Alligator mississippiensis: one gene and its partner. The protein of the gene in region 2 interacts with the protein of the main gene of each other region in a pairwise test. Links are inferred from orthologs where the notes say so. Each region holds a gene or a part of one and is shown on either strand. Other genes may lie near its edges.

Region 1 (7,307 bases), on a different chromosome or scaffold from region 2:
TGGCTGCTGCTGCCAGTTTCTCTGCTGCCACCACCACCAGACCTGGCCCTGCTGTCTGAGCACCCCTGCCCATCCACCCTGGCAGTCCATGAAAGGGCATGTTCAGCCGGGTGGATGGGATGGGGCCAAGGTCAAGCAGGGACCAGCATCTGAGAGTGGTTCAGATGAGGTGTTCAAGAATAAGAGCTCAATGAAATTTATCTTTTAAGAAGCAGAATTGCAAGAGAAGTAATTTCCTTACCTATAATTAAATAATATGGAAGTTGGTACATGTCTATTGCTATTCTCATTCTCATATCCTCTCAAATATATCCATGCCTAATGCTGCCATCAAAGCTCTGAACATGAGAAAAATAGTAATTTGAGGATTAAACATATTAATCCTTAAATATAATTTCAACAGAGATCTCATCAATAAAGGCCTTTCATGGAAACAAATATTCCTCCATCTTCCTACTCACACATTTTTCAGACAGAAGCAAATGTGACATTTCAGTTACCCAGCAGTTTATTCTGGATGATCTACTAGGTTTCTGTATAACAGTAATTTCATGTGTGACCATAAATAATGCAGCTGAACATTTTTTTCTGTGTACCTGTTTAGCCTAGCAACTTCATGTATGCACAAAATAAATAGAAAAGGCTGATCTCACTTCCTTGGATGAATTATCCTGAATAGCTTTTCGAATATTTACTATAACTATCATACTTAGTTTCCAAAATGGACAGAATCACAACCTATTTTAAGGTTTTATATTGGTGCTTACCTCTGGTATATCTATCTCCACTGTATAAAATCAGTATCAATAGTGAAGTCTTTGACAGTTCTCCGTTTTGGGGAAGGGGCTTGGAGTTTGATTTTTAGATTTTATTAATTCTTTTTTTCTCTCCTTTTGGTTGTTAGTTTGTTAGACGGTATGTCCCTACTGTCACTTTCACTCTTAAGGTAGAAAGGTCTTTTCAAAGGGAAATACTTTGCGGTGATTTTAATGAGACCATATTTACCCATTTGTCTCTGGAAGTGTTTCCTGTAGCTGAGTTGGTTCTATCTAAAAATAATACTGTGTCCCCAGCTTTCACCTGCTTTTGTGCTTTTCATTCCTCCAAGAGGATTAGGGCAATCATTGTGGCTTATAGAATAGACTTTGGACTTTAATGTATCTGAGACTTAATTTGTTAAAAACTTTTTTGTAAATTAGGACCAAGGCAGCCTAAGCTTCTTTACCAAACTTAAAGAAGGGCACTTTGTTCTCAAAGGCTCATCTAACATCTCTCTCAACTATACAGTTGGTCTAATAAAAGATATGAGCAATAAAACCTTGCTTCTCATATATTTCCTGGACCATCACAGCCACAACAAGACAGATGTGAATCTTTGCCTCAGTTAGCTCAGTGATGTTGACAACAAAATCTCTGAAATGCTATGAAATAATTGGAAAGTACAAGAATGTGAGGTGAAACCCAAGGAACAGTCCAAGCATCTGGTATTAATGTTAATGCGGTTTTTGGAGACATTGGTATGAATTGAAATTGTGAACAGTCTCTACTGTTGAGTGGTGGTGGTGATTAGCCTAAGGAAATACCATTTTGCTGATATCTCCGGTATCCCCTTCTTGACTGAAGGAGAGGATACTGGATGCAGGATAAGTTTCTGGGTGCAAGATCTGCCTGTGAGAATGTCATTGGTTCTATGTGTAAAATGCAATATTTTCATATTCAGCAGAATATTTCATTATAGCACTGCTACCTTTATCTTGTTATTTTACATGAAGTAGCACCCAAAATGGCTATGTTTTTTCATACACAGAGAATGAATGGCATAGTTATTGTTCCCAAGAACATGGGGTATCCTCAATATACCTTACTACCAGGGCTGCCCAAACAACAGAAAAATTAATATCCACTGAATATATTATTCAGTGATTTTAACCAGCATTTGATGAATAACATCTGCAAACAGTATTTGACTAGCCTTTGAATTTTTGAAATTCCCCAAAAGCTATTTGATAGATGGTTGTGACTGGATGAGTTGCCTGTCTTCCCTTCCGTTCATATCCCAACACCTCAGACCTTCTGGAAGACATCTCAACCTGTTATTTGTGAGACCAACTTTGGACAAGTAAGGTCTCTAATAAATTAGACATAAAAAGCTTCTGGAATACAGGAAATGTTCATCCTTTGCTTTTTCTTTCCCTTGCCAGCTGCATTAAGGCTAGTTAGGGAAGTCAATGCAGTGTGCATTTTTAACAAGAGTTCATGGGTTTACGATACTACAGCTCCCTCTGGTGATAACAAAATCCAGTTCTGTATTTTAAAATCTCAGACAGAGTTCTCTAAAGCAGGGATTGACAAACTTTTGCCACAGTGGGCCCTCTTCTTGGGTCCTGATTAGATTTGTCAGAAAATATACCCCAAATTGACTGAACTAGCAATAACTCCTCCTTTGTCACTACAAATATATTAAGAGGGGAGATTTTTGCAGTGGCTGGCAGGGATCATGCTGCAGCATAGCTGCTCTGGGAGCAGCATAGATCCTTGGGCAATTACCAAGCACCCTTGTCTTTGTGGGTGTCCCAGTATTTCAAGTTCAGAGGCAGAATTAAAGACATGTTCTTTTCAAAAACAGCCCCATTTCCTTCCCATTCAAATAAACTTTTAACTGCTTTTCTGGAGGAATTCTCCAGTAGAAAATTACGTGGTCCTTCAGGCACTTCATACTTCAGTGAACACATGACTCACCATTTGCTAACATATGAGCCATGACAGAATTTGACATACTTATTCTTCTTTGTCAAAGGAAGCATTTGAACTCCAGAGTCATGGCACAATTTAGAAGGCAGTAATTATGCTAATACCAGTCATGTTTTGTTTTTTGTTTTTTTTAATATTGCCTCTTACTTTAATAAAACATTGATGCAACAATTGGGGTGAGCTTTATCTTTTATACATTACTTTCATCCTAAAGTATCTTAGGACCTTTCACAAACTAAGTATATTTAGCAAAACTGAAATGGAGCCATCTCAGATACGGAGGGCTGTCTGTCCTTCTTGATCTTCTGTTTGTGTTAGGATTGCTCTAGGGTAAGTAGCATTTGATCCTGGTACATGTCTGGTATTACATGATGGTGCAGTTTTGAGTAGGGGGGCAGGTTTAGATGATAGCCATCCTTGTAAGCTGGTTATCCTGATCTCCAGAGAGCTTGGAGGGAGAATACTGTTCCCTTACCATGCACCTCTGTTGCTTTATCTTGATCTTTTGTCCTCAGTTATGAAATAGTCTCTATATTTCTTCTTCTGTCCTTGTTCTTGCTAGGTGGAAAAACTTGGTTTACCAGTAACCTGTGGCAACCAAAGTGAGAAGGGATGTTGACATTCACTCCATTCTCTTGCTCTAAAACTTTTGTGACATTCAGGACATGATACGAGGCCCATTTGTCTTTTTTGAGTGGAAGGAACATAATAAAGGCTAGTCATTTGCCTGTGGCAGAGTATTTGGGGTAATTGTTGACTACCTCTGATTTCCTGATTTTGGGAAAAGCTTTTGTCCTTTTCTTTGCATTTAAAAATAATGTTGTCATAGGTCCCTCATGATATTTACCTTCTTGCTGCTGTAATTTAAATAAACTAACACTTCAATTCTGAACACTATTTTAAACTTTACTTCATTGAACACAGTGTCCAGCCAAGTAGATTAATGGCAGTATATGTTAAATGTCTAGAAGTAGTGGGCATTTAACAGATGCTTCAATTAATTTACTTGGTAAACCTGATACACTAGAACAATAGGAAAATAGCGATTAGATATCCCCCAAATGTGTTTCCTTTGTATGTGGGGATGGCTGTGTTCACTTACAACATTTTCGTTTTTACTTACAGTACTAGATGTGACCTGAAGACGCTGATTGCCCATGTCATTTATAAAAAGTTGCTGTTTTAATTTGAAGGTTATTTTAATGGAGTGTATTTTATTAACTTGATTAAGTTCCAAGATAAATCATTTGCTGATAATGATAGAGAAACTTTAGACATTCCCTTTGCCTTGCTAACTGTTGTTTTCCTATGAGAACTTACTTCTATCTTCATAATGAAGAGATATTTTGATTAAATGGCATCCTCTTGTGAGGGTTTCTTTTATTTCACTTGGTAATAAATATCCCACTTGAATAAATGCATTTATTCTTCTGGGATCACATCAGCTGGGCTCTAGTTAATTTTTGTACATGTTTGTAAAATTCTGCTTTAACTTCTCTGTTTCTTCTGTTTAGCTTTGCTACATAGATTCTTTGGCAGCAGATGAGTTCTTTTTTACTGTTAATTAAATTCATATATCATCCTATGAAGAAAAGCTTCCAGAAAACATGCCTGTTTTGCTTTATGTGTAAGTAGCCTATCATTTAAACTCTTTAAGATTATAAGAAATCCTCATGTAGTTGTTCAAGACATTATATGTTACTTGTAATCCATGATCTGTTTTTATCTTTGGCTATTGCTATGATTTGTAAATTCTTAGACAGGCTTAATCTTGTAAATCCTGGATGAGTTTAGTTTTTTAGTCCTGCAAAAGTCATTGTGCACCTGGAAGATTCCAAAAACCTGTAAGTGTTTTTAAGTACTGCCTGGGTGCATGTACATATTAAAAGCACGAATATAGGATTTGTGCATTTTATAGCACGGAGCAGCATACTGCAGCCTGTATTTGCAGTTCTTGTAAAAAGGTTGGAAATGCTTATGTTTGGAAACGGAGGTGAGGATATTAGTGGGATCCTTGATGATCCTAAAGTACAGGACAAGGCATATTGAATTGGTAATGTAGCTAATGCCACATGTCCCGTGACCAGCAGTAAAGGTCACCAACTCTATCTGCTCTTCCAGCACCAACTGTTTGATCTATGGAAAACAGGAAACTCATCAAGTGTGATACTGGGCTCATTATGTTAACAAACAAAGATTCCTACTGTCTCAGACTGCATGCACTTCCAAACCAAACATGAGACTTATATGTGCAGTTCAACTAATGTAACTGAAAAATATATCTGGTCTTTTCTTCTGGAGGTTTTCAGAAGTATGCTTGAGAGTCCTTTCAGTTGTGGCTATACACATCAAAATCACAATTCATTTTAATCTAACATCGTGGGGGGCAGATTAGGTTGCTAGTAGAGGACATCTGTCAGTTTAGGAAGAAGACTGAGCTGTGGTTCACACTTATGAAAACAAAACCTAATAAATAATGTCTTGTTACATCCTGTAAGTTGTGGAGTTTGCAGGCTCAAAAGACAACATTGCATTGGTTTACAATAGTGGTTCCCAAACACTGACAGATTGTGTACCACCAGTTTAAATAGATACAACCTAAGTACTACCAGCAAATTTTTCAGTTCAACCTTTTGTTGCAAATTTTTGTCATATAAAGAAATTATAACAAATCTGCTAACGGGTACCACTGACAGGTTGTCTGAGTACCAGTGGTTATATGCATACCACATATTGGGAACTGCTAGTTTACATAATTTCACATTTAAAAGGTTCACATTTAGTTCACTTGCAGAAAATTATCTTTGTAACTCTACAAGTTGAAAAGTTCCATCAAGCGTATTGATGGGTTCCGTCTACAAAAATAGTTGAGCTTCTTGCTTTAGTTTTTCCCGGTGAACAGTTGTGTAGATTGTTAATAATTTGTATATTCACTTCAATCTACATTTTCCCTGGTGCTGTCTGCTTCAAGACTGTCTTTAACTCCCTCCACTTTATGAATGTGTACTCTGTGTGCCTACAGAGTTTTCTTTCATTCTGAAAAATGTCATGAGTTAGATCACAAGAGCCTTCACAGTAGATTTGTTCTGTCCAGCTGATCTTCAAAGTGAGTGTTTTTCAAAGTGAAAAACTAGAATGTATGCTCCAGGAGAAGTTCAGGCAATGTAGGCTGTTTTGGGAATATTTATGATGGTTAAAAGGGAGACTTGAACCAAAGGGAATGGCACTTGGGGGGAAAGATAAGAAAATCTGACCATCCCTCTTTCTTGTAGTTCTTGATGGTCATGTTTTCCATGTCTTTCTTTCCTCACATTTCCTCTAACCATTTGTCATCTCTGAGAGTCCTTCAGATGTCTCTCTTTGATTTCTCCCTCACTCTGTCTTCCCCAATCATTTTTTTCTCTCATTTTCAGCCCTTTCCCCGCTCCCAGCCTTTGAAAACAGCCTTTGAGAGCATGGAGGCTGATCAGGAGCATAAATCAGACTAGGAAGTGTGGTTTCTGCCTGCATAGGGCTGCAGAGTATGTGAATTCTATCAGAGGCATAATGAGCATGGCTTACGCCCTGGGTAAACCCTCCAAGAGAGCACATGGGAGTGGGGAACAGCGTGACCCTGGCTGTTGCTCTTACAGCAGCAGCATGGTGTCCACACACCCAGCTGCTGTTGCAAGAGTGATGTTGTACATGGGGCTGCTTCTCCTGCTGAGACTCCAAAGGGGTGGGGGTGATACTGGCACCCCTACTAATCTGTCACTCAGGGATGGTATCCCACTTGGTGTGCTGTACCTAGACTCCTGGAGGCCCCAGGCGAACTTTTAGTATTGGGCACCCCTTTGCCAGAAATAAGGGGTTTTTTTTGTTGCAAAAGTCTTTGATTTTCAGGCCCCCTTTCTGTCCAGGCCCCAGGCGGCCTCCCGGCTTGCCCATGCCTATGTCCAGCCCTGCCTACTTGCCCATCCCAAGTTGTGTTGCTGAATTCTATCAGTTCACCATTGACAGTGCTACAGCGAGAGACTTTGATTGAGGATGGAAGTATGTAACAGACCTAAGTTTCTTAAGGACTCATTGAAGTTACTGTCAGTCTCAGGTTTTTTCGGCTGGCCAGCATGAGAAGAGATACGTGGATAAAACACTACTTTTGGTACAATTGATCCCTGCAACTGTCTTTCTTTCACTAAACTTACAAGGGCAGGTGTGCACTTTAGACTATATTTCATCAAGTTTAAACTTATGATCAACATCAAAGCAGAGAAAATGTTAGTATTGCTAGTCTGCTGTACAGTTTTTCTAAGGACTCTGAATTTTGTCAGAAGATAATGAGAACCCCCCCCCCAGTCAAATCACATGACTGCATTCTTAATGCCCTTTATTTTTCATTTTGTTGCAAATAAGACCTCATGCAAGTTTGTCCTGTGAAAGCATTATGTCTGCAGCTTAATATGTAGCTAAGGTATTTTACAGAAAATACAAGGAAAGTCCTTTGTCTTAAAGAGCTTGCAAAAAGAACAGTCAGCAGTTATTAATATGTGAGTTACTATTCTGGAACCTATTATAAC
Region 2 (6,961 bases):
TGACTAATCTCAGTCTGGGGAGGCTGAGCACATGCATGATCTCAGTCTGGCGGGACTGAGTGCAACTGTCAGAGGCTCCATGTCCTGCCATTGGGTGGGCAGGGGGCAAGCCTCAGCCCAGTGGCGAGACACATGTGGCCTTGTGCCACTCCCAGAATAGCTGCAGTGGGGCTTGGAGTGCAAAGTCCAGTGTGCAACAGCAGCTGCCTCCACCCTGCATACAGATCGGGGAGGGCACGTATCCCCCAGGTGTCCACCGGGATGCATGTAGTGGCTGGAGCCTCCCCACCCCACACCTGGATAAGCCTCCTGGGCTCCAATTGTCCCACCACCCAGCCCAGGCAGGACCACACTCACCCCAGCACCTGCCCCTACCCCCCTCCCTCCCTCATTGCAGGGGCCTCGATTTGCTCCCCCCCACTTGCAGGGGGGAGAGGTGCGATAGATCCTAGGTTGCACTTTAATTCACAAAGGGATCTGGTACTTAAAAAGGTTGGAGACCACTGCTTTAGTGGTACCGCGCTTTTCCCACCCCCCCAGCGGTACCATATATCAGTACCACCATGCACGCCCTCCCCACCATTGCACTTCATGTCCCTCCCCATCACTGCACAGTGCCTCCTCCCTCCCCCACTACAGTGCATGCCTAAGCAGCCCTCTGCTGCTGCATCACTCCACTGCATGTGCCTCCCTCCACTACATCACACACCACTTCCCCCCCACTGCACCATGTGTCCAGGTACCCCCCATCCCCCCTCACTACTGAACGATAAGCCTTTTCACCTCACTGAACTGAGCAACACCACACTGCACCACACACTGCTCCCTAACTCCCCCCCCACCCACAACAACACCAGTGCCCAAGTGCCCTCACTCATCTTCAGCTCCCCAGCCACAGTCTCCCCTGCTGCATTTCACCTTAAGGCTCTTTCAGCAATGCAGGCTGTACCATGCTGCAGGAAGGAGAAGCTGGAGGGGAAAAGGAGCCCAGAGTCCCTGGCTGCTTCTGTAGCTGAAGCAATGGGAAAAGTGGTGGCCAGGTGGTAGCCCAGGGCCACAATGTAACCCCCCATGGACTGCATGAAGCCCACAGGTCACCAGCTGGAAAGTCCTGTTGTAGCCCAATAATAGGCAACATCCAAAATAGGCATAAATGCCATTTGAATTGCAATGACCCAAACCTGACCCACACACCTGGGTGGCAGTAAGTCCCACCTCTCAGCTTTCTGGTGAAATTGCAAAAGTCAATCTGGAAAGTTTGCCTTATAGACGACATGCACATTAGTTGTGAAAGAGAGATCCCAAAACTTCCATTCCAATGAAAGGCCCAAAAAGTTAACTTTCCTCCCAGGCTTCGCTTTGCTACCACAATAAGTTAGGACAAGGCTGTCAAAAAAGGCCTCTTCTGTGGCTGGAGGGCCTGAGTTGTGAGCTGCTAATGAAAAGGCTGGCAGTTCAAGTCTGGGTGTGGGCAAATAAGTGTAAGTCTCAATTTATTTCAGCAAGAGAAGGCTGAGAGGGGGAGCTGGTGACCATCTATAAACTTACTAGGAGGGACCAGAAGGGTTTGGGGGAGACCTTGTTTCCCCTAGTGCCCCCCAGGATAACAAGGAATAATGGCCACCAGTTGTTGGAGAGTAGGTTTAGATTAGACATTCATAGGAACTACTTCACAGTCAGGGCGGCTAGGATCTGGAACCAACTTCCAAGGGAAGTGGTGCTGGCTCCTACCCTGGGGGTCTTTAAGAAGAGGCTTGATGCCTACCTGGCTGGGGTCACTTGAACCCACTTTTCTTCCTGCCCAGGCAGGGGGTCGGACTTGAAGATCTACAAGGTCCCTTCCGACCCTACTTCTATGATTCTACGAAAGACACAGCCAATGGGCCAGATCTGACCTGTAGAGTCCGACACACAGGCAGCCCTGTGGGCTTGATGGTCTCCAATCCGCACTGCATGCAGCATGTACTAGCTTTAGACCCATGAGCTGCATGCAGTGCATGGAGCCCATCTAGCACAGACACCCCGGAATTAGGATTGTCCAGGATTGAAATTAAGCACACCATGAAATTAAGGGCCAAATTCAAATTAAGGGACGAATTTCCAATGAGGAACCACAGTCCTTAACTGACAATAAATGTGGACTGGTCAGAAAAGCACGCAGCACCAGTGTACAAAGCTGCTTCTTGCCAGTTCCTCAGACTGGCGTATCGGACTCATAAGAGGATCACAGGCCTTACACCCGCAGAGCAACAGTTAGCCCCCCTTGCTCTTAGAGGGGGCTATTGGGTACTCATCAGCTGAGCTCGGGGGAAGACGGCTCCACAGTCCCCAGGCCCGCCCCCCCCAGAGCCTGCTTCCTAAGCCCAGCGACCTGGGAAGCAGCATGGTTCTTCCTCGCCTTGTCCAAGCCAGCTGCATTGCTCCTACTGCAGCTGGCTGCACAGGCACTATCTGGGCTCGGCTGCGGCCGGGCCAGGAGCCACAAGAGCAAACCAAACACTTTTACCATCGCTGACCGTCCATGGTAAAGGGGTTGAAATGATCGTACAAACAGGATCATTATCGTACACTGGCAACACCGCCGCCAGCACGCGGCTCCCCGCCCCGGGGTGCTCCCTACACGGCCCGCTCGCGGCGGCCCCCGCGCCCGCGCCCGCGCCCCCGCCACACGCGCCCTCGCCCCGAGACGCCAAGCGCGCACTCAACCGTCCCGCCGCGCCTGCCGGCTCCCGTCAGCCACTCGACCCAAGGCGCATGCGCACCCGCCGCCAACGCAGCTCAAGGATCCCGCCAGCGCTACAAGTGATTCCTCTGCGCATGCGCTAACCCTCTCCCCACGCCGCTTCAAGGGGGCGAAGCTGTCTTCAGTGCTCGCCCCCGTGGACTTCCTCTCGCACTTCTGCTCTCGCTCTAGAATGGCAGAGTTTTGTCAGGGGCTTGTAAACCTGTATTGCGCATGCGCCTGCTGTTTCGGCCACTTCTAGCATGGCGGCTTGGCTGGGCTGTCGCTAGTGCTGCGTTCTGCCGTCAAGCAATACCAGCCGTAAAGGGCCCTGGCCCCTCTCTTTTGCGGCGGTGCCGGAATATCGAGCTGGATACCGTCTTCACTGCAAGCGGCTCCGGGCCGGGGCGGCGGCTGCGCCAGGTGGGTGCGGGGCGCGAGGCGCGATGGGCCGGCGCCACCCGGGCCCGGGCAGAGCAACAATGCGGACCCCCCCTTCCCTGGGTTGATCTGCTGCTCCGCTAGCTGTCCCTGCCTTGTGCTCCCTCCCCCAATCTGCCTCTCTGCTGTCTGCTCCCTGCCCTGTGCTCCCCACCCGAACTGCTGCTCGGCTTTCAGCTCCCTGGGGTGCCCTCTGCTCTGCTTCCCGATCTGCTGCTCTGCTCTCCGCTGCCTGCCCGTCCCCTCCCTGTCTGCCACTCTTAGGGGCTGCCCATGCCACTTGTGACACACATACTGCAGGTTGGTCACTCCAATGCAGGCAGAGAAGAGGGTGAGGGAATGCCAGCATGATAGGCCAGCAGCACGAGACAGAAAAGCCTGGGACCTTGCGCTGGCCTAGGAGAAAGGCAGACTCCACAGCTGCCACCTGGGCTCAGAGCTGGCTGCCTGCGCTGCTGAGACAGCGGCTCTTAGCGTCAAGCCACCCTTGGTGAGAGAGTTCAGGAGGAGCTGGGGACCTTGCACTCAGCAGAACTTCTGCATGAGAAGGTTCTCAGTAGCCAGGAGTTGCTGGTTATTGCTGTCCACTCCCGAGCCTGGTTAACACCAGCAATAGCTGCAGGAGAGCGTTGGCAGTGCATACAGCAAAGACGAGAGACAATTGAATAAGAAATATAGAATGTGCTCTTTACCTAAGCCGTACCAGCACAAGCCATACATAGAAAAGTAGCAACTATCTCCTTCCTCCGTCAGCACAGGCTTACAGTCTATAGGGCTATGTTGACTGAAAGAACAAACATACCTGCATGGCAAACAAGGCAGGAGGAAAGCTTAGAAAGGATTTAGCATCTCCAGGGTATTCCCAAATTGGGAAGAACTCTGGAGATGGTTTTCCTAAAAGCAGAGGAGAAGATAATTTTTCTGAGACCACAGAAATGGAGCAGTGGTCAGTAAGCGCTTGTTACTGTTTTTGGCATTTAGGGTTGGCACCTGCAGCTTCCAGACTGTCAGGGATACTGGTGTTGGCAATGATTCAGTTACTGCTGATCTTGAGGGCTTACAGAAAACAAATTTTCAGGGAGCTTATAGGCCTTAAATTGTGGGTAGATGATTGATAATGGGGGTGAACTTCAAGAAGCATGACATTTGCAGAGAAGATTGCAGCAGAGTGAAAGCTTTGAGTCAAGAGGAAGTTGTAGCCAAGGCACATTTAATGCTTTCCAGGGAAAATGTTGGAAGTTGAAACGCAAGTAAAGCATGTACTAATGGAAGGCGTATTCTTCAGCAGATAGTCTAAGGCAGCATTTCTCAACCCATGGGTTGCAACCCAAAAGTGGGTCGCAAGAATGTATGAAAGGATCACCAACAAACTTTAAAAATGGATTCTCCTTTAAAGGAGGAAAACATGGGGAACTGTGGGCTTTCCCTTGCAGGCTGGTGTTTACAAATGCATCCTGGTACAAAAACATTGAGAACCACTGGTCTAGGGGACTAAACAGGTTGGTCCCTACACACTACTCAGCCTCTGCCTGCTCCCTGGCCTTCCTTACTAGTCTGCAGCATCTGAGATCTGTCAACTCCAGTTGACCATGCCTTTGAGAATGCCTCCCTCATCACAGGGCTCCCAGCCAAAGCTAAACTGTAGGCAAGAGGACAGTGTGATTTGACCCCTCAAAGTATCAGACCATTTCTGTGGCCTCCCCTACCCACAGACTTTAAAGTTCTTTTAAGCATTTCTCCAAGTGCCCTTCACATGCAGCCTGATCTTTGCCCGCTGTTTGCTCTCTTTTTGCACTTTTTTAAAGTCAGATGTTCCTCCTCCTGCTCCCTCCCAAGTTGCACTGATAACTTGTTTATTGCCCAAGGTGTTTAAAGGCATAGTTACCTCCAGGTTTTCCCCTCCCTACATTTAATTTTTGCGCTTTCTGTTCATATTTAATGGAAAAATAAAGGTTGTGCTTCCCAATTAAAAACAGCTTGATTATTCATGCCATGGTATTTCAGCTTTCAAACTAGCCAAATAAGCCAAGAAGGTAAAGAAATCTGGACCCTCAAAGTAGCTGAAACATGTGAAGCAAGCAGCCCCTGTGCACGTGCTGCCTAAATCTCCTAGCTAGGGGTAAGCAAAATACAGCCTGCAGGCTGGGTTCTGGCCTGCCAAATAATACTATTAATCCCACGGCTGCTCCTCTGAAGGAGAATTGTATCAGGGCCACTTAGGGAGTTTTGGTGAGCTTTTGGGAGGGGGAGATGCTGAGCTCACCAAAACTCCCTAAGTGCCCCTCCAGCCCAGATAATTGTCCATCCCTGTCCTAAGCTAAAGTGTACACAGAGCACAGGTCCCGTATGGTTAAAGATGTTCCAGGCATGAACTGTCAAGTGAGCAGTATTTGTAAATCAGCAAAGCACATAGGAAATGGCATAGCAACCCCAGGAAACTGATAACACTGAAACTCCAAACCAGCCCAAATGTACTGTGTTCTGCTTACAGATTCATGGCTACAAAAGGGGCTCCCAAAAACTGAATCTCCAAGCTGGAGCCAGCAACCGCTGCATCAAACATTTAGGCCATGTGGGTCAAATAGGTACATAAAATGCCCCAGACAAGGTGTCTCTGTCTACTGCCATTCTGGAATAGGTGGCATAAGCTAATTGCTTAAGAGTTGGCCGCTTTTTACTAGTGCTGGGCCTGCACTTACAACATGGCCACCACTGCAGGCCACCAATCTGCCACTGTCCCAGATCTGCAAAGAACTGCTTTCTTGCTCCTGTAATGCAGCTTCTGCTGAAAAGTACGCCTCTGAAAACTGAGAAAACTTGTGGGGCAGATGTGGCCCACAGGTGTTGGCTGCCAATGCAAGCCTTAAACCATCATTCCTGTCTTTCTGTGCCAGAATTGGGTCTTGGAGCCTTGTGCTGTTTCAGCCCCGTTTTATAAGCTGGAATCAGGCCTCAGAGCCCCACCCAGCCCCTTGTGTCCAGTCTAGCATGCAAGGTTACAGCCTTGGGGCTACCCACACACCTGTGGAGAGCTCTGCAGGACAAATGACATTGCACTGGGGCCCAGATCTGCCCTGTGGGCCAAGGTTTGAACATGTGTGCTGTAAAACGTAGACTCCTGGCTACCCTTCAGGTATGTGGTCTGCTCTGCATAGCAGGAAATACCCGACATCGCAGAGGACTGGCTCTCTTCAGCCTGTGCGGAGATGCATACAAGCACAGCTGGAGTTCTCTAAAGAAACTGAGCTGCAGTTAGTCAGCATAAGGAGCCATCAGATTGCACCAGTTCTCTACCCATTTTTCATGTTTTTTGGGGCACCACAACAGAGAGGAGTTTGTGAGCTTGGCTCAAAACTCACAGCATAGGTCTACATGAGCAGTTCTCAACCTCATTAGACTCAAGGCACCCCTCAGACAATTCCAGCTTAGTTTTCACTTACTCTTCACTATAGAAAGATAACAGAGCAACTTTTTTGTTGCAAAGAACTCAGAGAGAACACAGCAGGTGAACATTCCTATTTGAAATTGCTAGGTTTATCTTGTGAATCATGTCTGCACATGTAACAGCAAATATGGTATGACACCCCATGAAAAGATGTCAAGACAACCTAGGGTGCCAGGGAACCCTGGTTGAGAATCACTGGTCTGCATAGGCAGCACTGTGTAGCAGTACCCAAGCTAGCTTAGTGGGCACTAGATTGCAAGCCAGAAGCCATCAGCCACATTCATGTAGTGCTGTACCCAAGCACTGCTGAGAAATGGAGCCAGTTAACCAGGTACAGCACCAAGGTATATTTT

Evidence for each region. The genes of interacting proteins can lie anywhere in the genome.
Region 1: the proteins of RAD54B (region 2) and TCEANC interact in a two-hybrid assay, tested with the Homo sapiens proteins (2 studies listed by BioGRID). The two-hybrid records come from large-scale screens. The link is inferred for Alligator mississippiensis from reciprocal best matches to the Homo sapiens genes RAD54B and TCEANC.

Annotation. Positions count from the first base shown.
Region 1 is NC_081824.1:324,616,342-324,623,648, reverse strand, and holds the start of TCEANC (transcription elongation factor A N-terminal and central domain-containing protein), read left to right. Parts: upstream 1-4,291; 5' UTR 4,292-4,378; intron 4,379-7,307.
Region 2 is NC_081826.1:43,510,665-43,517,625, reverse strand, and holds the start of RAD54B (DNA repair and recombination protein RAD54B), read right to left. Parts: upstream 2,957-6,961; 5' UTR 2,946-2,956; intron 2,916-2,945; exon of another isoform or gene 2,702-2,915; intron 1-2,701. Other genes in the region: RING finger protein 151, read left to right, coding at 2,957-3,145. UniProt on the Homo sapiens protein: Involved in DNA repair and mitotic recombination. May play an active role in recombination processes in concert with other members of the RAD52 epistasis group.